Oryctolagus cuniculus: one gene and its partners. The protein of the gene in region 3 purifies or fractionates together with the protein of the main gene of each other region. This does not show direct contact. Links are inferred from orthologs where the notes say so. Each region holds a gene or a part of one and is shown on either strand. Other genes may lie near its edges.

Region 1 (4,830 bases), on a different chromosome or scaffold from region 3:
CCGGTCATCTCCTCGTCAGCCTGGCGGGCCAGTCCGAAGTCTAGGATCTGGGGGGACCGAGAGGTGCTCAGGGCCCCTCCTCGCCCCACAGCCCACCCGGCCCAGTCCCGCCAGTCGCTCACCCTGAGCTCGCAGTCTTCATTCACCGCCACGTTGCTGGGTTTCAGGTCCTGCGTGGGCGGGCAGAGGCCTGAGCGCAGGGATAGCGCCCGCCTGAGCCCACCCGCCGCCCGTCGCCCACGCTGCACCTACCCGGTGGATGATCCCTGCAGAGTGGATGTACTGCGGGGAGGGAGGTGGTGAGCATTGGCCATGTGCCCAGGGACCCCCACCTCCAGCCCAGGCCCTAAGACCCCGCCTGCAGCCCAGGCCCTAAGACCCCCACCTCCAGTCCAGGCCCTAAGACCCCGCCTACAGCCCAGGCCCTAAGACCCCCACCTCCAGTCCAGGCCCTAAGACCCTGCCTGCAGCCCAGGCCCTAAGACCCCCACCTCCAGCCCAGGCCCTAAGACCCCGCCTGCAGCCCAGGCCCTAAGACCCCCACCTCCAGTCCAGGCCCTAAGACCCCACCTCCAGCCCAGGCCCTAAGACCCCGCCTGCAGCCCAGGCCCTAAGACCACCACCTCCAGCCCAGGCCCTAAGACCCCCACCTCCAGTCCAGGCCCTAAGACCCCACCTCCAGCCCAGGCCCTAAGACCCCGCCTGCAGCCCAGGCCCTAAGACCACCACCTCCAGCCCAGGCCCTAAGACCCCACCTCCAGCCCAGGCCCTAAGACCCCACCTCTAGCCCACGCCCAGAGACCCCCACCTTCAGCCCACGCAGCAGCTGGTATACCAGGAACTGGACGTGTTCGTCACTCAGCGCCTGGCACTTGACGATGTTGTTCAGGTCTGCGCCCATCAGGGTGGTCACCAAGTACCTGGGGCAAGGTAGGGGGTCAGGGGTCAGGCCGGAGCCCCACTGCCGTGGGCCGAAGGTGCTCCTCTAGCCGCCAGGCACTCACACTTCACTGAAGTCCTCGATGGACGTGGCTGGCGTGAAGACGTCCAGAAGCCCGATGACCTGGGAGGCAGGAAAGCAGCTGGGCAGCATGCGGTGGGCAGGGCTCGGCCCCAGGCCAGAGCCCTCCTCCTGCCAGCCCTCCCTCCCATTGGCCCAGGGCCCGGGGCCCTCCTCCCGCCGGCCCTCCCCCCCACCGGGCTTCCCCACCCCCCCCGCCCTCCCCCCCCCGCCGGCCCTCCCCACCCCCCCCGCCCTCCCCCCCACCCTCCCTCCCACCGGTCCTTCCCCCCACCCTCCCTCCCGCCGGCCCTCCCTCCCGCCGGCCAGCACCCGCTCACGTTCTCATGCTTGAGGTGCTTGAGCAGCCGCAGCTCCCGGTACGTCCTGCGGGCGTGGATCAGCGACTGGAAGGGCCGCGAGAGCTTCTTCACCGCCACCTTCTGCCGCAGCCGGGCGTCGTAGGCTGAGCTGGAAGGCGGGCGAGTGAGGCAGCCTCCCCAGCTCCGCGCCCAACCCCTCCTCGCCCGAGATCCAGAGGAGCCCCTGAGGCTGGGCCCCGGCTCGGGGAGAGGCCTGGGTACTCCCAGGGCAGAGGGTGCCCCCTACCCCGGGACTGGGCAGGTCCAGAAGTGTGTGCTGCATCACTGGCAACCGGAAGTGGACACTGGGAATGCCCAGCGAGGCCGGCCTTGCCCAGCCCCACGCCCCTCCCCTCGGCAGCAGCCCCTCGCCTGGCGGCAGGTGCAGCAGTCTCGGTCACGATCAGGGCTCAGCTGGGAGCAGGTCTGGAGCCCTTTGCACAGCCGGCTCTCTGGCCAATGCGCCCGCCCACGCACCCCTTCCCTTCCCCTCAGAACCCGCCCCGCAGTGAGCCCAGACTTGACTGCCCCCGGTGTGGGACGCTCATGGGTGCCAGTGGCAGAGAAAAATTCACCAGGCCCCCAGTGCCCCCATCACCAGGTTGTGACCCACAGGGGCAAATCCAAGTCACTGCTGGAGAGGAGGTGGCAGATCCTTTGGCCCAACTGCATCTGTGTGGTTAGCTGAGCAACAGGGAATGGGCACCCGCGCAGTCACCTCCTTGGCAGTGGAACTCAGCAAACATGGAGGGTTGGGGTGCAGCCCAGAAAAGCCCAGGTCCCCCTGTGGGGACTTGACACCCCCGGAACTCCCAGATGTGCAGACCCAGCCATGAGTCCACCTGGGTTCCTGCCACAATATCCTCTGGTCACTCACACACGCCGGAAGACGGTGCCCCGGTGCTGGAGTGGCCGAGGTGACCGCCTCAGGCTGCGGGGACAGGCAAAGATCCGCCCAGGTGCGGGCAGCCACGCCCGCCCACCAGTCCCCAGCCTCTCCGGCCCCACTGGGACCCAGCAGCGGCCAGTGACGACCTCGTCGGGTGCCATGGGGGCACCTGGCAGCGTCCACACCTGTGAGCAGCCTGTCTACACAACGCTGGTCTGTCACCGCCCTGTCCGGCTTTCCTGTCCTGGAGCGAAGGCCGCGGCCCAATCGGCACCCCCGCCCCCCACAAGCCGCCGTGGTCTGTTTGGGTTCAGGCTCTGGAACCTGCGCTCTGGGGATCGGGCGTCAGGTCCCCCGCTCAGGATGGAGTCCGAGACTCCTGGGAAAACGAGGAGTGGGCAGGACCCGCAAGGGGCTCCGAGGCCACGCTGCGAGCCTCCGTTTTCAAACAATGGCGCGGGGCGGGGGCGGGGTATCCGCCGGACCCTGAGCCGCGCGACCCCTAACCCAGGAACTGCGAGGGGAGCGCAGACGCCGAGGGCCCCGGGGCGCCCGGCCTCCGCCGGCCGCGCCATCCCGGGACTGGGCGCGGCAGGAAGACGACCCCCGCCCCGCTGGGGGCGGCGTGCGGCGGGCACGCTTCTCGCACGCCCTCACCCCGACGCATCGCCGCGGCCCGCGCAGGGCCCGGGGGCGGGGGCAGGCCGAGGCCCCTCCCCACGCCCGCAGCCCCGAGCGCGCCCCGCGCCCCGCCCCTACCAGACCGAGCCGTAGGCGCCGGAGCCCACCGGGCGCAGCCCCTGCAGCCTCTGCGGCACCTCCCACACCGTCTTGTTCAGCTCCTGCCGGTAGAAGCCGGCGCGGGGCCCCGACATGTCCGGAGCCGGAGCCGCGCGCAGCTGAGGGCGGCGGGGCGCGGGGCGGGGCGCTGGGCGGGGCGCGCGCGGGGCTCCTGGCTGGGGCGGGGGCGCCCGGAGCCGAGCGGAAACCGGGGCGGCGGCGGGATCCGGGCCCGGAGCTCGGGAAGCGCTTCCTCTCGGGACGGAAGGGGGTTGAGGGCCGGGCCTTTGTGGCGCCGGACCACCTGCTGGGGTCTCCCGCGGGCGCGGCCGGTCAGCACCAGGGACAGCGGCGACCCGGGGGGCCTCTGGGGCCAGGGCTCGGGAAGAAGCGGCCCCAGATGAGTCCCCTCGGGTCCCTCGTACTTTTTGCCTCTTCGGGAAGCCCACCCGAACTTCCCCAGACCCTGGGAGCCGCCCCTACCGCCCTGCGCGGCGGTCCCGTGGCCGGCGTCCTCCCGTTAAGCCCCGGCCTCGCGGGCAGTCGCCGCAGGCACGGACAGACGCTGGGTCGGGGGCTTTGGGCGGGACGCCCCCTCCCGGGATGGGAGGAACTTGGGCTCCAGTCGCCCCCTCTTTTTCAAGACGAACCCAGCGGCGCGCGCCGGTGAAGCTGGGGTGCTTGGGACCAGCGTGAAACGCGGAGCGAGCTCCCTGGACCCGCAGCTTCATGCAGACTTCATGGGTCTTGGGACCCTGGCCGGGGTCCAGGGCCTGTCCTGCTGGGGCCCCTAAGGGGTTCGGAGACCCGGGCGGGGAGGGGGACTCAGTGGATGCTTCCCCACCGCCACACGAATCGCTGGTGAGGGTCTGGAACAAGCAGGATGCAGTCTTGGCTCCATTCTCTGGACATGGACAGGTCAGCAGCATTGCTCGTGGCTCCTTCCCATCCTCACCTCTCCCTCCCCCTGCTCACTGGAAATTGGACAGTGACCGGAAGGGCTGGTCACCGCTGGGGCTGAAGGGCATTCTGGCCACCTGGACAAGCCAACATTCACCCCTCGCTGGCACCAGCCAGGCTCCTGGGTCCTGTCACTCCCATCCCTAAGGGGAGGGGTGAGGGTGGAGACCACCTGGGCGTGGATGGCAGGACCTACAGCCTTCCCCTCCCCCTGAGTGTCCCTTGCGTGTGTAGGGGTGTCCTCACAGATGAGCCCCTTCTTTCCTGACTGCCCCGGGGGACAGCAGCAGCAGACCCCTGGAAGCCAGGCCTCCAGGTTCCTGTTTCCCTACAGCCAGTGTTGGGGAGGGGCCCGAGTCACCCCCTTCCAGGAGGGGTTCACAGTCCCCTGACCCCGGCTCCTGGGCTCCCCAGCCGTAAGGGGAGGCCCCAGCGGCGAGACCAGGCCGGAGACCATTCAGACAACGCACACAGGGACAGCGAGTGTCCAGGCCGCTCTGCTTCTTCCTGGGCTCAGCCTGCTTGGGGTTCACAGGAAGCTCCGTGGGGGCAGGGCCCCTCCGTCCCATTGGCTGCAGGCCCAAACTACGTCTTCATCTTGTGGCCCCGCCCCAGGTCCTCGGGGTTACCTACCCCCACCCAGACCCCCACCAGGCAGGAGCAGAGGAGTCCGTCGCCCTCAGAGGTGCAAAGGGTGGTCCTGGGCGAGTCATCCTGGGTAGCTCGTGGGACAAAGCTGACCTCACAGCCCCAAGGCCTTGAGACTCTGGCCCTCTGTCCAGTGGGGCCGGCACACAGCGCGAGGCTTACCAGGCATCTCTCTCGCTCGCTGCTGCCTC
Region 2 (4,610 bases), on a different chromosome or scaffold from region 3:
ACCACATTGCAAATCTGCGTCTCTGTTCCAGCACAGAGCAAGTCATACCAGCAACAAGAAAACCTTGCCAGCAGTTGAATTCAAGTTCATCCACAGTCCCTAGAGTTGAGTTGTCCCGCTATTATCAGTCCATGAATGCTTAAATATCACCGGAAACAAAAACTTGATGAATACTATGAAAATTCATGTGTCAACTCAAGAATGAAAAAACAGGGGCAGGCGTTGTGGCACAGCAAGTTAAACCTGCTGCCTGCAAAGCTGGTATCCCATATGCACTCCAGTTGGAGTCCTGGCTGCTCCACTTCTATACATCTCCCAGCTAACGTATCTGGGAAAGCAGCAGAAGATGGCCCAAGTGCTTGGGCCCCTTCACCCACATGGGAGACCAGGATGAAGTTCCAGGTGCCTGACTTCAGCCTAACCCAGCCCTGGTTGTTACAGCCATTTGAGGAGTGAACCAGGGAGAAGCTTTCTCTCTCTCTCTCTCCCTCTAACTCTGCCTTTCAAATACATAATTTTTTTTAAAAAAAATGGAAAATGGAGGGGGTGGCACTGTGGTGCAGTAGGTTAAATCTCCATATGGGTGCCAGTTTGAGTCCCGGCAGTTTGATTCTCGGCTGCTCCTCTTCCGATCCAGTTCTCTGTTGAGGCCTGGGAAAGCAGTAGAAAATGGCTCAATTTTTAAGCACCTGTACTCATGTGGGAGATCTAGAAGAAGCTCCTGGCTCCTGGCTTCAGATTGGCCCACCTCCAGCGGTTGTGACCATTTGGGGAGTGAACTGGCGGATTGAAGACCTATCTCTCCATCTCTCCCTTTCAACTGCCTGTAACTCTACCTCTCAAATAAATAAATAAAACCTTAAAAAGAATGAAAAATGGAGGTATATTAATGAGCCCATAAATTTTTTTTTCAAAGATTTTATTTGAGTGATAGAGTTACAGACAGAGAGAAGAGAGACATAGAGAAAGGTCTTTCATCTGCTGTAAAGGCCAGAGCTGGGCTGATTTGAAGCCAGGAGCCAGGAGTCTCCTCTGGATCTCCCACCTGGGTGCAGGGGCCCAAGGACTTGGGCCATCTTCCATTGCTTTCCCAGGCCACAGTAGAGAGCTGGATCAGAAGTGGAGCCACCAGGACTCAAGTCTGCGCACATGTGGGATAACAGCACCACAGCGCTGGCCACAGAGTCCTTAAATTTTAAAGGAGCAATTATCTAAATACACCTCTGAAAATTAGCAAATCAATAACTAGTATATATACTAACTAAAAAAGCTTCAAATTCCTTGAAAAGGTTAACTGCCACAGCGTAAAAGTGGGAGAAAGATGTCAGCCACGGTGACACCTGCAGCATTACTCAAGCGGCTTGAACTAGAAAATGCAATACGATCTGTTGCTGGACACAATTGCACAATCTCAATTACCCAGAAGATTCTACCAAACAGGAAATTCATGATGTGATTTTAAGAAACACGGGAATCATATTTAAAGATGAACAAATCCAAAAGCCTGGAATTTGTTCCGAACAAAACAAAACAAAAAAAGCATTTTCCTAGCTCCTTTTCCACCCATGCATGCCCAGGAATTGATAAAACAGGAAAAAGCTTACTATGAAGCCGGACACTTAGTTTCAGATCAGGAGCTCTCAAAAGATACTAAGTATAAAATACAGTGTCTAAGGCCTTGGAAGTTAGAGAAGTCAGTGAAATACTTCAGGTCTGGAAATGTCCTGGTGTCAACTTAAATACAGGCACCTTGTAAAGGACAGCTGGCCGGTGTCTAACTTTCTTCTCCTGGAAGTTCCCGATCCTAACGAAAACCAAGTGTATCTCAGGCCATAGCCACAGATAAGGTCTCTGCACACTCTCCAAGGGGCCTTAAAAATACACGATTCACAGGAATTATCTCAACTTTCAAATATTCACAGTAGCTCCCTGCACCGTGAGCGACTTTTGGGTTTCGAGGGCACGCGGCGGAGGGATCCGAGGCTCCCCTGCTCCCCGTGAGAACCCTGCTTCGTCAAACAATACTTTAAATGAGCAGTGGTATGTGACTAATCAGCCAGGCCGCCAGTTTCTCAAGCGGCAGCCACCACCGCCGCCCTCCACGGAAAGGAAACACGCTCTCGACCGAATCGGAAACACACCACTCAAGCTGGCACAGGGCTCGCCGAGATAAAGCCGATATTTTAAGCCCTATGGGTCGCTGCGAATTCAAAAAGAACGCTTCTCCAGACGGGATTTCCACAGAGGTTTGCAAAAAAGAAGGAAAGAAAGAAAAGCCTGGAGGGGGCTACCTTCGTCGTCAGTTTTGTTCAGACCACCCGATCTCCCAACCGGGTTCTGCTTTCTCCCGCAGCTCCCCGGGTCGTCCGCGCCCCCGGGACGGGTGCACCCCCGGGAGAGGGTCCTTCTGCAAAGTGTTCGTAGGGACCCCCCTCCCCAGCTCCCCGCAGAACAGCCGCCCCTCCCCCAGGGCCTGCCCCCCGGGGGGGAGCAGCGCTCAGCGAAACGAAAGCGCAGGGCGTGCGCCAGGAGCGAGCTCCAGCCAGCACCACCACCTACCGCCCACAGCGGACCTGCGCCTGCACGCAATGGACCACCGCCCTGGGCGTGCAGGCTGCGGGATGCAGGGGGTGCAGGGACAGCCATGCTCTCCCTCGGGGGAAATTCCTGCCGCTGGGCGCATAGCGGAGCCGCGGGGGCAGGCCTGGCCCTCGGGCACCAGGGGCCACCCTACCCACCGCGGCCCCGGGCCTAGCAACACTCACCACACGGAGCCATAGGCGCCAGAGCCCACCGGGGACAGATTCTGGTAACGCTCGGGCACCTCCCAGATTGTCTTGTTCAGCTCCTGCCGATAGAACGTGGGCCTCTCCTGAGACATTTTCCAGCGACGGCCGCGGGGCGAGGAGGTGGCCCTGAGGTGCCCCCGCCTGCACCCACGCCCGCTCCCCGGCCCTCGTCGCCCGCCCAGGCGGGCGGGGACCTCGCGCTGGCCGCCGCGCAGGTGCGGCTGCTGAGACCCCCGCAGACACCCGCGCGTGCGGCCCCTGTCAGCTGCAGCTGCTGGACGCGCCTCAGGGACCGAGGCGAGCCCGGCAAAGGGCAGGAGCGCGCTCCGAGGCTGAGGGCTGCGCCCGCCGGGGTCTCCCTGCACCCTCTCCCGGGCCGGGCCGACGGCGGGCCGTGCCGCTGGACTCCCGCTCCAGTTGCAGCGCCAGCTGAGGCTCCAGTGGTCGCAGTTCCAGAGCCAGCGAACAGGAGCCGCCTGCCGTCCTCTCGCGAGATCAGCTCCCGGGACTCTCCGCGAGCCGAGATTTTACCCAATATGGAACCTCCCCGCGGGAGGGGGTTCGGGAGGAGAGAGCGCCGGAGGAGCAGTTCTCGCGAGAAGAGAGCAACAGCTGGAGCCCAGAGGCAGGAACTCCCGGGGACTGTTCTTCGGGGCGCCGAGGCGGACGGCTAAGGCGGGGATGCTCGCGCACCACAGGCCGCGCGCGCCCCACTGTGGTTGGTGGGGCTGTAGTGCCTGACCACTGCGGAGAGCGACGGGGACGAGTAAGCGTGTCGGGAAAAGAGCCAACAGATCTTGGAACTGCGGCCGAGCACCTGCTCGGTGGAACTCCGCCGTTTCCAAGAAATACCGGCGTCAAAAACTGGTTCCAGTCAGAAGGCCGTCGCATTCCCGTGTGCTCATGGACAGATGGCTAACCCTCCGGGACGCTGACGAAATCGGCCCCAAAGACAAATATTAGCCCCGCTGGAAGCCGAGACTTTGCACCCGAACGGGTGCAAAGGTCGCCCCGGGACCCTCAGGGGCCTCTGCGGGGGTCGGGGCCGTACAGGTGGCTCTGATGTGTCTTAAAAGCCGTGGCCCCGAAGCTTATAAACCGACTTCGGCCCCAAGAGCAGTCCTGAGAAGAGGACTTGGAGATTTTAAGTGGGGGCTCTCCCAGGAAGGCGGAGGAGCAGGGAGTGCGCTTGTGGCAATGTCGCTTTTAGGCAAGCCGGTAGGCCCTGCTCAGTTGCAAGAGAACTCCGGTCCTCCGTTCCCACCTCATAGGGACAAGAAAATACCCGCGAGTGGGCAAGTGTTGTAACCCCAGGCCCATACCTACTGGTGCTGGCCCGGCCCGTGCTAACGCCTGCTACCCTGAGCGCAAGGATGGGAGTCTATCTTGTCCTCCGATCCTTTGAGGGCCACCCCAGGACAGGGGCCGAGGGCTCCCACGGCCGTGTTCTCCTTCCTCGCCCCCGCTCTCGTTGCCCGCCCGCCCCGAACGCCCGCGGGTTCGGCCGCAACGGCTCGGGAACCGCCGGCGTCCGGGTCGGCAGCGCTGCCAGCCAGGCCAGAGCCCTGGGAGACCCGAGCCGCCCGCCGCACTCCCGCCTCGGGCGGGGAAACAGGTGAGCTGCTGCCAGGGCCGCCCGGGAGGCGGGGCTGCAGGCAGAGAGTCGCGGGTCGCGGGCCGGGCTGGGTCCGCCGCCCGCAGCGGGGTCCCGCACGTCGCGGGCGCTCGCTCGGTCAATATTGGTAGAGTGAGTGGCTGACGACGGTGCCTGGAAGCTTATCTCCCGCCTCTGCTTTGAACGGCCGCGTGGAACGGCACCGG
Region 3 (3,627 bases):
CATTACCTCATGCATTTTCTCATCTCCCTCGCATGGTTCACGAGCCAACTGTTTGCAACATACAGGTGGACTGCGCCTCGCTGGAAGTGTGTGCTTCGCGTTGCTCCCTTCTTAGGGAAATGGCTTGTGGCGCCCTCACCGTGTGCATAGCTCGGCTTTCCTGTGCTTCAGTTCCTTAGGGCGGAACCCTCACAGGTAGCTCTCACTGCACGCTGCCAGCTGAACTCCCCAAAGGTTGACTTCCAAACGGACCACACCGCTAGAAAAGTGGCCAGCGAGAGGGCGCAGCATGGTGATTTCCCAGCAACCTTGTGCCTCGTCCTTTTGAGTGCTCTTTCTTCCACGCCTGAGGGTGAGCCCCCTCCCAGGATGTTTTTTGCCCCGTGGCATTCCACCTTAGTGCAGCGTGGAGCCTTTTCCCCACGTGTTCTCAGGGTCTTGACCTTTTGGTCGGTTTGTAGAGCTTTATCTTATCTGTTGTGCGTCTTCCTTCACCACTGGTATCTGTTTTCGTTGGGCTTCGGGCAGAGAAAGGACACACAGGCAGAGGGGCTTTTCCATTGTCTCAGCGCTCAGCACGTCTCCCATCTGAGATGTCGTTCAGTGGCCCTGCTTATGCTGGGTCTGTGCTGCGGCACACTGGGAGTGCCCTGTGCCCCGGGGAAGGATGGGGGGCCCCGGCCCGGGCTAAATGGTGTTCTGGCACACGGTGGGGCAGAGAGCAGGTTCGTGAACAGAGGCCCAGAGGCAGGGAGACTTTGGGAAGCTGTCACAGTGACCTGGCCAAGAGTTGGTGAACGCGAGTGCATGCCAGTGCAGGACACAGGAGATCATGGATGTGAGAGAGATTTTCATAGAAACTGCCTCTTTCCAGATTGATCAGTCTGGGGGTGGCGGTGGGGCTGGGGGTGGGGAGGGGTGGGGGAGCTTTGAGTTTGAAGCAGAGGGAGGAGCTGGGGTGGCTGCTAGGGTCAGTGTGTGGAGGAGCAGAGTCCCCCAGAGTGCTGACACCCTGGAGCTGCTCCTGGCAGCTTTCAGCCAGGTGCGTGTGAATGAAGCTTCCAGTGACATCCCGTGCTGCTCCAAGGTGCTGGCTCTAATGAGCCCATTATACAGATCGGGCCACTGACGTCCATGCAGGGGCTGTGATGGTCCGGAGTCACCACTAGCTGGGTTAGAGGCAGCCTCTGGGCAGGGGCGCTGGGCTTTTGTCCTCACCCCCTCCCCCTGCCTCCAGGGACCAAGCTGGCGCCGGCCAGGGGAACTACAACTACTCCCCTACTGGGCCCCTGACCTGCCCTTGGCCTCTGCCCCGACCCTATCCCGCCTGAGTGGAAGGCTCAGCTCAGCCTGCCACTCGCGGGTCCCACCCGACTGATTTCGCTTACTTCGATTGGCTTGCTGGCCCCCCTAAGCCCGCCCCCGCCGCCCCGCCCCGCCCCGGCCCGCCCCTCTGAGCGGCTACTCCACGTCCGAAGGCAGCGGCTTCTAAGGTGGAAGCTCAGTCTTGCTGCCAGGAAGCGGCCGGCGCGCGAGCAGCGCGAGGCTGAACTTCCACGTGCGAGCCGCTCCACCGCCCCGCCTCCTGCCGGCGCCGGGCCTGGGGACTCCCCGGCCAGGGACGGCACCCGCGCCCCGCGGTGGCAGTGCTCTGGCTGGGACGTCCGTGCGCGGCCGCCTGCCGCGGGATCGCTCTCCAGGTCTCTCTCCTTTTGTTCTCTGCTGAGGGTGTGGGGGGCCCGGGCCAGGTCAACCCCGAGGGGGCTCGCGGAGGCTCCTCACCCGGTGGCACTTCTGTTCCCTGGTAGTGGGGTGGGGGGACCTTGACCCGCACCCCTTCGTAGGCACACAGCCCTAAAGTCGGAAGCTGGAACTTGAGGAGTGACCACCCCCCCACCCCCGGCCCAGCTCCCGGGCAGGCTGAGCGAGAGACGCGGAAAGTAGGTGTGAAGGGAGGTGCCTGTGGCCTCCCAGCGAGTGCCCCGAGGGCACCGTTAGACGCCCAGCCATCTCCTGGGTGCGGGGGCGGCGGGGGGTGGGGGAGGTGTGGCACCTCTCACACTGTGGGAGCGGTGAGCAACTGCGGGGTGACCCTGAGGGACGGTGGGCGCCCGCCCCGGGCTTGGCTTCCCATCTCGACGCCCCCGGCCCGCGCACCGGGAGCGCAGACAGGCACTCATGCCACGCGTCTTCCCTCTGTATGCAGCGCCCCCGGACCGACGTGCAAGAAGCCTCAGGGCCATGGAGGGCCTAGGCCGCTCGTGCCTTTGGCTGCGCCAGGAGCTGGCGCCCCCGCGCCCGCGCCTGCTGCTCCTGGACTGCCGCAGCCGCGAGCTCTACGAGTCGGCTCGCATCGGCGGGGCGCTGAGCGTGGCCCTGCCCGCGCTGCTGCTGCGCCGCCTGCGGAGGGGGAGCCTGTCGGTGCGCGCGCTGCTGCCCGGGCCGCCGCTGCAGCCGCCTCCGCCAGCCCCGGTGCTGCTGTACGACCAGAGCGGGGGCCGGCGCCGGCGCGGGGAGGCCGACGGCGAGGCCGAGGAGTGGGAAGCCGACTCGGTGCTGGGCACCCTGCTGCAGAAGCTGCGGGAGGAAGGCTACCTGGCCTACTACCTACAGGGTAGGTGCCGGACAAGAGGCGCCAGGCACTGGCCTGGGGGAAGGGGGACGAGGGGGGGGGGACTGGGCCCGGGGAAGACCCTGCCTTCCCGGGGGATTCATAATTAATTTGACCTTGGCCAAGCCTCACCTGACAACCTGCCAGGCTGCTTTTGGGGGAGGGGAGCGGGAGCCTGACTTTGGGCAAGTCCCTTCACCCTTGGAAGCCCCGGGTTTTCTGAGTCTGCGCAATTGATGCTTAAGCACAAAGTTCCTGGGGCAGGACAGAGCAGGGGCAGTCTCGGGCTGGGAAAGGGGAGAGCAGCGGTAAAGGCAGCAGGAGCAGGCTGGTCAGGGAAGGTGGCTGGGCTGTGTGAGGGACGTGTAAATAGAAGAAGTGTCAGGTTTCCAGCCCCCCCCCCCAGCCAGGGCCTGGGAGGGAACCGCGTTATCGGTAGATGCAGCGGATGCTGGCTCCTTGGGCGGGGGAACGCTAGATTCTCTCCCGAGCGCCCCCCCCAGCCCCCTGCATCTCTCAGGCAAGGAACTGACACTGAAACCTTTCCTCTTTGCTGCTCGCTGCTTGCAAGTCCATCCGGGACTCCCACGGGGGTGGCAGGGACCCAAGCACTGAGCTGTCACCCGCTGCTGCCTCCCGGGGTGTGCGCTCTGCAGGAAGCTGCCAACACAAGGACTGGCCCCCAGGCACTGTGTCCAAGATGCGAAGCAGGCATCTTACGCACCCCGCCCCAGCTGTTGGCCTTTGCATTCCCCTTGGGGACACCTGCAAAGGGACAGCTTCCGAGGCGCTCCGCTTCTCTCCCCACAGGTGGCTTCAGCAGGTTTCAGGCTGAGTGTCCTCACCTGTGTGAGAGCAGCCTCAATGGCCACGCGGGCTCAAGCGTAGCCTCCGTGCCCGGCCCGGTGCCCGTGGTGGGGCTGGGCAGCCTGTGCCTGACCTCCGACTGCTCCGATGGGGAATCCGAGGCTGACCGCGACACCATGACCTGTGGCCTGGATTCGGAGGGCGCCACG
Region 4 (3,310 bases), about 58 Mb from region 3:
GGGTAAAAGTTAGCATTTGATGAGCCAGAAAAAGCAATTCAATTCATCAATTTTTAACAGGACAAGGTGGTATTTGGTGTGAGCTCTGCTTGAGGTTTTGCCCCTTTATAGACTTGTTTTGAATTGAATACAAAAAAATCTGCACTCAAAAATGAAACTCTGGGGGCAGGTGTCATGGGGCAGTGGGTTAAGCCGCTGCCCACAACACAGGCATCTCATATGGGCACCAGTTTGTATCCCAGCTGCTCCAATTCCAATCCAGTTCTCTACTAATGTGCCTGGAAAGGCAGTGGATGATGGCCCAAGTGCTCGGGCTCCTGCCATCCAAAAATGTGAGACCCAGATGGATTTCCAGGCCTCTGGCTTCAGCCTGGCCTGGCCCAGCCTTGGCTGCTGTGGCCATCTGGAAACCAATGGATAGAAGTGCGTGCTCTTTCTCTCCCTCCTCCTCTGTCACTCTGCCTTTCAAATAATAAATAAATTTTTTTTTGAAAAAATGAAATTCTGGATTTTGAGCTAAAGTAAAATGATTGCATTTGGTTCCTTATAATAAGTTCTAAAAAAACTAAGCCACCATACTATATTGAGTAAAATCATTTTATTAACTGAACAAAGCACTTCATCTTGTTTTGATTTGAGGTAAAACCATTAAACACAGGTCACAAGAAAATACAATGACTATTTAACTACAATTACAGAAGTCTGAAACCTCACTAGTTGTTCATAGTACAATTTTACAAATTCATACAACTGTAGAGTCTACTTAAGCTAAGTTTAGTGTTAACCAAAGGCGGGATATCACAGGCCTAGACACACCTGACTACTACTTTCGCAGCGACTACACTTTTGGAACAACATAATGACTGTCACCTTATGAATACACTTTAAGGACCACTTGGCTAGTGACATGTACTGTTTCCTCATTTTTCAGAGGTGTGCATGGAGGCTCTTAGGACAAATACCTGCTCCCATTCAGTATGCCCTTCTTTCAGGTCAAATTGTGTTGAAAAACCAAATAATCATGGCTCCACCGTGAACACAAGGATTGGGACTATAGTCCCATAATCGTCTTCATATATTTAGGTTTTATAGGCAAGCCAGCTTAGGTTTTTTTTCCAAAGCTTTCTTTTAAATGTTCAGATCCTGTTGTAATCCGAACTGCAGATTACTGTGCTTGTGAGAGCGTCTGTGGGTCCACGTGAGGGCAGAGACCACAATGCAGTCCAAAGCACAGCATATATGTTTTTTTCCAACTGAGCCCAGCTGTGAGATTTCATTTTGTTATGGACAGCTCTTTTCAATCAATCCCAAAGCCTTTGGAACACTGCAGATTCGCTTTAGAGGTAGATAAAACAGAAATCATGCAGTTAAGTCAATTGAGAACAGAGGGATTTTCTATCTTTAGAGACATCATGACTAAACACTGATCCTTTGTTCTTAGTGCACATCAAACATTTTTCACCTGTTTGGGGAAGAACCCCAGCCTTAACCGTTCCTCACGAAAAACGGTCTTACAATTCAGCCTGTACTAACTACAGATAGAAGAGAAACACCATTAATGTTTGCATTGCAGCACTGCGGTTCACTTTCTGGATTTGTGACACATAAACATCCCATGCATTCTAAGACAGAAGTTAATTTCATCAGTGTCACTAGCGATGTTAATTAAAAAATTTACAGCAAGTTCCAAACTTTTCTAAATATCGAAATCACCATGTTTTAAAGACAGACTGTAATGTTACAAATGATTCTGCAAAATACAAAAATAGATATGCTTCCACCGAATGCCTTAATCATTTTTCCGCGCAGTCTCATCCTTTGGTTCGTCCTCATCTGAGTACACAGTGGGCTCCTCCCCTTCCTTCAGCAGTTTGCCCACGAGGTGATACTTGACTGGAGGTAGAGGAAGAAAACACAAACGGTCATTCTTCATGCTTTGGAAAAAAATCACTATCCTAACGCCTTTGAAAACATTCCGTACAGGCCTACAGACTCAGCAATGTGTGAAGTTTCTTGAAAGACCCAAAGGCAGTTTATAGCACAGTCCTTGCCAGCAGAAGTGACTGCTTTGTTCAGGAGGCAGAAGTGTAACAGGTAGTAATGTCTAGCAATGAACATGCACAGTAGTGTCAGAATGGACTGCTTGTGTTGTTGGGAGTGACTAGAAGAGCAAGGCCTCCTTATGAGTTACTGAGAAGCGTTGCAGAACACTTCGTGGAAGGAGGCTACACTTGGGAAAATATGTAGAAGCATTTGGGGAGGGAGATGTCCAGAAAATAAAAACACTATGCACAAAGGGACACAGATAAGGCTGCACCCATCTGGGGAGCAACAAAGAGAGCCAACAAAGAGGGCAGCAGCAGAGCTGGAAGAAGTAGGGGACAAAGTTGGTGAAGTGATGTGGGTAAATATTGTGAAATATTTGGAAAGCCAGCATGAGGAGTTTGGACTCATCCTATAGGTGCTAAAGGGCACGGAAGGTTTGTGGGGAAATAAATGACGTGGTAAAACAGTGTTCTAGCAACAATATTATCGCTGTGGAGTACAGGGCAGATTCCAGCCACAGAGACGAGCAGCAGGGTCACCAGGGGGCAAGTGTGCCGAGCCAGATGGGAAGGAATCGCAGCCAGGAGGAGGGTGCTGCTATGGGAATGGAAAAGAGGGATCCCATACACTTTGACCGGAGTTAAGGAAGTGCCAATGGGATATCCAAAATGGGGACTCTGCAGAGGGAGCCACCCTAGAGGGGCACATGACAGGCGATCAAAGCTGGAGGTTGATATTCCAAAAAGCACATTCCTGGAAACTTTGGAGAAAGAGTTTTTGAGAAAGAAGCCATGTTGTAGGGAGGAAGGAGGCAGACAGGAAATGAAGGAGTGGCTAGGGACAACAACTTCTTCCAAGTTTGACAGTGAAGAGCAAGAATCACAATCTAGTGGATACAAGGATAGCAGGAGACAGAATCTTACCTGGCATGAGTTAGAAACCTATGGGCAGCCACAGGAAGTGGTAAAGGAGTCGGGAGAGGACTGGGGATGTTGGAGAAAACAGAATAGTGTAAACCCCAATGTAAACGCTTGAGAGGGGATGGAGTCAGCCAACACCACATTAATGCAGCTAAATGAATGCAAGGTTAATCGTCTCAAAGGCAGAAGCTAAGATGTGCAAGTCTCCTCTTTATGAATATGGGTAGGAATTAGAGGAGTGGCCAACCTGTCTAACCAGGTAACCAGAGCTACTTTTGTATGAAATAATCATTGGGAACAACTGGAACTTCCCTATTTGAACATAGCATAAAGGTCCCTAGGGT
Region 5 (4,511 bases), on a different chromosome or scaffold from region 3:
TCAGGTTCTGGTGATGCGGCTGCACGTCCCCGCACGTCCCCTCACCTGGGGTCCCCGGGACCCGGCAGATCTGCTAACCCCTGTCAAGAGCCGGGCTGAACTCAGCAGCAGGGCACAGGGCCTCTCACACCCCCGGCAGGTGACCCCGAGCATTCTCTCCTGCGGCCCTGGGAAATGGGGCTACTAACAAGCTGTCCAGGGCCGGAGAACATGCCGGTTCAGAGTGACAGCTCCAGGGTCCACCCAGTAATGCCTCAAATCTCCACTGGGGACTTAAAAAAAAAAATCACTGAAATTGATTCTGGTGCAAAAAACCCCGTCAAAGTCCACTAATTCAAGGGGTCTTCAAAAAGCTCCTGGGGGGCTGGCGCTGTGGCATAGCGGGTAATGCTGCCGCCTGCAACACCAGCATCCCATACGGGCACTGGTTCGGGTCCCGGCTGCTCCACCTCTGATCCAGCTCCCTGTTAACGTGCCTGAGACAGCAGTAGAAGATGGCCCAAAAGGTTGGGCCCCTGTACCCATGTGGGAGACCCAGAGGAAGCTCCTGGCTCTTGGCCCAGCCTGGCCCAGCCCTGGTCATTGTGGCCATTTGGGGAGTGAACCAGCAGATAGAAGACCTCTCTCTCTCTCTAATTCTGCCTTCCAAATAAATAAATCTTAAAAAAAAATTATCCAAGTATTTTGATTTTTTTGCATGAAAATAAAATGCCTGCCTGTTTGTGGGAGGACAATGAGAGAGGAGACACCCCCCACAGCACACCTGCTCAGAGAACATCTGGCCCGGCCTAGATCTCCTGTGTTCTCTCAAAGGGAAATGCAGTGACTTGCCCCAGGTCACACGGCAAGCTGGGTGAGTATGGAAATCTCCCGTCCCTGGTCTGTGGCAGGGCTCTGGCCATGGCACCCAAATCCCCACCCTTGGATGGAGGACTGGACTGGGACCAGCAGGTGGTATGGGTGGGTGGCGAGGAGGCGACGTGTGTCGCAAGGCCAGGTTGAGCCAGGCCGGAAGTGGACAAGGAGCAAGAAAAGCACTCTTGGGGGAGGGCATTAAGGCTAAGCTGTCCCTCCCTGGGCAAGGGGCAGGTGCGCGGGTGACCAGGGCGAGGCTCTGAGCAGGAAGTCCCAGAGAAAGATAAGGACCAGCTCCCGCGTGGGGGAGGGGTGAGGCAGCCACAGAGACACCTGCTTGGGGGCTGTTCCGGGCCTCAGTCCCCTCATCCTTGGGACCCAAAGGCAGGGGTAGCACCTGACACGCAGTAGGCCCTCAAGAAAAAGCAGTTTTCTTCCTCCCTGCTGTCTTTCCAGTCTGGGGATCCAGAGAGAAAGAATCACCAGTCTGTTCAGCAAGAAGTGACCGTGGGCAGAGCAGGTCACATAACTGCAGACAGCAGAAAACAAAGAGCCCAAAGAGACCTTGGCGCCCAGGCTCCCCATGGAGGCTTGGGGCAAAGAAGGGACCTGTCCAAGGTCCCCCTGCCTGACAGCCGCAGGTCAGGGGGGGAGGGGCCTCTGGCCTGTCACTGCCTTCATTTGGGAGGGTGGCAGGGCAGGGGGGAGCCCAGCTCTGGAGGCCCAGGGGTAGGATACACATCCCTCATGGCTTCCAGGGTGGGAGCCCGAAGAATGTCCCGGATGCCGATGACGTTCTCATGGGAGAAGCGTAGCAGGATCTGGATCTCCCTCAGCGTGCGCTGGCAGTAGGTCTGGTGTTCGAAGGGACTGATCTTCTTGATGGCCACGCGGGTCTTGCGCACGTGGTCATAGGCTGAGCTGAGAGGCCCAGAGAGACGTCGCTGCTGGTGTGGCCATGATGGTGGTGGTGATGGGGGGGGGGGAGCGGGAACCAGGCCCAGCGGGCCCCACCCAGGCCAGGGGCAGGGAGGGAGGGGACAGAGCAGGAGAGGGCTCTGGCCAAGTTATAAACAATGCTCGTTCCTTCCTGCTGTGAAGGCCTGGGCTCTCCAGGGAGAAAGCTGGGGACCAGCCAGGCCGCCTTTCGGTGACTTCACAAACAGAGGAAGACTGGCCACTCGCTGACTTCCCCTCTGCTTGACCCCCTTCCATTCTGCCCAAGCCCGGGCCTCCCTCCCCACCATGGGCTGCCTCAACCCACCACAGGGCCAGGGAGCGGGACCGAGGGGCGGGTCTGGGCCGAGGACAGCAGAGCAACTTCCGGTCGGTGCAAAGGCCCAAAGCACACAGTAGGGCTGGGCCAGCTCCCAGACCCCTCCCCAAGATGCAGGCAAGCAGGCACTCCCCACCTCTCCTCAGGCCCGGAGGCCCGAAGCCTCGCCCCACCCAGAGCCCTGCCTGTGCCGCTCCACTCCTGGGCACAGCCTCGCTTGGGGACTCCAAGGCACCCTAAGGTCCCCTCTCTCAAAAGAGGGTCCTCGTTCACCAAGACTACTGATTCTCGTCGCCCCACGCGGGTCTCTAGGGCCACCGCTCCCTCAACCCCAGACACCCAAATACCGCTGCTCCCTTCGGGGCGGAGGGCTCCCGTTCAAAGCCTCCAAGCCCCCTCCCCTAGGAACATGGGCAGCGCCCCCTCCCCCAGAAAGCACCCCAGGGCTCCTATCCCGGGCATACTCCACCAAGCCTCCAGAGTGCCCAGGTTCTACAGGCCACTCCAAGTCTCCACGGCCCAACGAGCCCCCTGCAGCCCTCCTCCGCCCCCTCCTCCGGGGTTGCCCCCTCCCTTGAGGCCGCCCCCTCCCCCGGAACGCCCCCTCACCTGACCATGCCGTACGCGCCCTCGCCGATGTACTGCAGCTGCGTGTAGCGTGGGCCCACGTCGAACGGCTGCCCCTTCACGACCTCCACTTCCCCGGGGACCCCCGGGCCGACCCCATCGGCTCCCCGGGGCTCCCCGCCCCCGCCCCCCTGAGCCGCCGCCGCCGCCGCCATCTCCACTCCTCCCCTCCCGCCCGCCCTCCCCACGGCGGCCCCGCCCGAGGCCCCGCCCCTTCCCGCCCGCGGGGCCGCGCGCGCCAGGCCCCGCCCCCGCGCGCCGCCCCCGCGCGCCCCCGCGCCCCCGCGCCCTGCGCGCGCCGCGGAGCCGGGGCGCGCGCCCGCGGACGTCACGTGGCCCTCCCCGCGCGCGTCCGGCTTTCCCGCCGCCGGGCAGCGGTGCTTGGTCGCTGCGGGCTTCCGTGTGCTGGGAGCGGGCGCGCCGGGCGGCTGTAGGCGCGGTCCATACCCCCTCGATTTCTAGGCAGCTGGCGGGTGACTTCCCCAGGGCCACCCGGCCAAGGTGTGCTGGGGCCGGACGCCCCCCACCCCGGAGTGCCTGGCCTTCTGGGACCAGAGCTGCTCCTGTGGGAGCCCCCTGGGGGTCCTCTCGGCCCTTGGTGGTTTGGCCTCCTTGAGCCAGCTCTGCTCGGCTGCCGAGGGAGTGTACTTGAAATCAGAGCCGCGTGGAGACCCACCTGCCGTTTAAGGGTGAGGCCGAAGCCCGAGGTGCTGCTGCCGGCGTGGGGTCCAGGCCCTGGCCCTCCCAGCAGCTGCAGCAGGGCCAGCTGTTGCCCCCACGTGCGTGCCAGGTGGGCAGGTTTCGTTAAAATACACTTGAAGAAGGAAAGAATCTGGGGCGGCGCTGTGACATAGCAGGTGCATCCGATATGCATCTCGGCTGCTCCACTTCCAATCCCGCTCCCTGCTAATGGCCTGAGAAAGCAGCCAAAGACAGCCAAAGTGCTTGGGCCCCTGCGTCCATGTGGGCCCATCCAGATGAGTCTCCTGGCTCCCGCCTGGCCCAGCTCTGGTTATTGGGGCCATTTGGGGACTGAATCAGGAGATGGAAGATTGACTTTCTCTCTCTCTGCCTCTCCTTCTCTGTAACTCTTTTAAAGTAATTAATCAATTAATCTTAAAAAGAAAAATCCAGCTTGTTGGATTTGGCAAAATTGAACTCACAAGAGGGTTGTCATCTTCCTGATTCTCTCAGTAGGCTGAGAGGGGCCAAGGTCAATCTTGTTCCTCACTGGATCCCCACCTCCCACCCCCATGCCTGGCACTGAAACATTAAAAAAATTTTCTTTTTGATGAATGAATCAAATTTTAAAAATATATTTCCTTTTTATTTGAAAGGCAGAGTTACACACAGAGAGAGATCTTCCATCCACTGCTTCACGCCTCAAATGGCCCCAATGGCCAGAGCTGGGCCAGGTGGAAGCCAGGAGCTTCTTCCAGGTCTCCCATGTGAGTGCAGGGACCCAAGCACTTGGACCATCTTCTATTGCTTTCCCAGGCCACAGCAGGGAGCTGGGTCGGAAGAGGAGCAGTGGAGATTTGAACCAGAGTCAGATTTTGCAGCTGGAGAATCTGAGAGCTGGGTTAACTTGGGTGAGGTCAGCGACACAATGACGCAGCTGGGGCGTGACGTGGTGTCTCTGACTCAGGCAGGAGCCGTGTCTGCTCACCCTCTCTCGGAATCCAGGCTGTGCTCATGGAAGAAGGCCCCCCCCAGAGATGGGCGAGCCTGCGCCCCGGGAGGCTTCCCATCA

The links.
Region 1: the proteins of DUSP9 (region 3) and MAPK11 purify together in Homo sapiens (affinity purification with mass spectrometry; 4 studies listed by BioGRID and IntAct, with this or other methods). This does not show direct contact. The link is inferred for Oryctolagus cuniculus from reciprocal best matches to the Homo sapiens genes DUSP9 and MAPK11.
Region 2: the proteins of DUSP9 (region 3) and MAPK14 purify together in Homo sapiens (affinity purification with mass spectrometry; 8 studies listed by BioGRID and IntAct, counting the BioPlex papers as one, with this or other methods). This does not show direct contact. The link is inferred for Oryctolagus cuniculus from reciprocal best matches to the Homo sapiens genes DUSP9 and MAPK14.
Region 4: the proteins of DUSP9 (region 3) and PGRMC1 purify together in Homo sapiens (affinity purification with mass spectrometry; 3 studies listed by BioGRID). This does not show direct contact. The link is inferred for Oryctolagus cuniculus from reciprocal best matches to the Homo sapiens genes DUSP9 and PGRMC1.
Region 5: the proteins of DUSP9 (region 3) and MAPK3 purify together in Homo sapiens (affinity purification with mass spectrometry; 4 studies listed by BioGRID and IntAct, with this or other methods). This does not show direct contact. The link is inferred for Oryctolagus cuniculus from reciprocal best matches to the Homo sapiens genes DUSP9 and MAPK3.

What each region holds. Positions count from the first base shown.
Region 1 is NC_091442.1:123,217,297-123,222,126, forward strand, and holds the start of MAPK11 (mitogen-activated protein kinase 11), read right to left. Parts: upstream 3,194-4,830; 5' UTR 3,127-3,193; coding exon 3,011-3,126; intron 1,472-3,010; coding exon 1,342-1,471; intron 1,064-1,341; coding exon 1,005-1,063; intron 921-1,004; coding exon 809-920; intron 283-808; coding exon 253-282; intron 171-252; coding exon 123-170; intron 48-122; coding exon 1-47. UniProt on the Homo sapiens protein: Serine/threonine kinase which acts as an essential component of the MAP kinase signal transduction pathway.
Region 2 is NC_091436.1:133,478,529-133,483,138, forward strand, and holds the start of MAPK14 (mitogen-activated protein kinase 14), read right to left. Parts: upstream 3,245-4,610; 5' UTR 2,882-3,244; coding exon 2,766-2,881; intron 2,174-2,765; exon of another isoform or gene 2,039-2,173; intron 1-2,038. UniProt on the Homo sapiens protein: Serine/threonine kinase which acts as an essential component of the MAP kinase signal transduction pathway.
Region 3 is NC_091453.1:132,017,859-132,021,485, forward strand, and holds part of DUSP9 (dual specificity protein phosphatase 9), read left to right. Parts: intron 1-171; 5' UTR 172-352; intron 353-940; exon of another isoform or gene 941-1,700; intron 1,701-1,844; exon of another isoform or gene 1,845-1,940; intron 1,941-2,206; 5' UTR 2,207-2,241; coding exon 2,242-2,614; intron 2,615-3,421; coding exon 3,422-3,627. UniProt on the Homo sapiens protein: Inactivates MAP kinases. Has a specificity for the ERK family.
Region 4 is NC_091453.1:73,830,488-73,833,797, forward strand, and holds the end of PGRMC1 (membrane-associated progesterone receptor component 1), read right to left. Parts: intron 1,894-3,310; coding exon 1,790-1,893; 3' UTR 584-1,789; downstream 1-583. UniProt on the Homo sapiens protein: Component of a progesterone-binding protein complex. Binds progesterone. Has many reported cellular functions (heme homeostasis, interaction with CYPs). Required for the maintenance of uterine histoarchitecture and normal female reproductive lifespan.
Region 5 is NC_091450.1:7,472,611-7,477,121, forward strand, and holds the start of MAPK3 (mitogen-activated protein kinase 3), read right to left. Parts: upstream 2,914-4,511; coding exon 2,741-2,913; intron 1,777-2,740; coding exon 1,594-1,776; intron 1-1,593.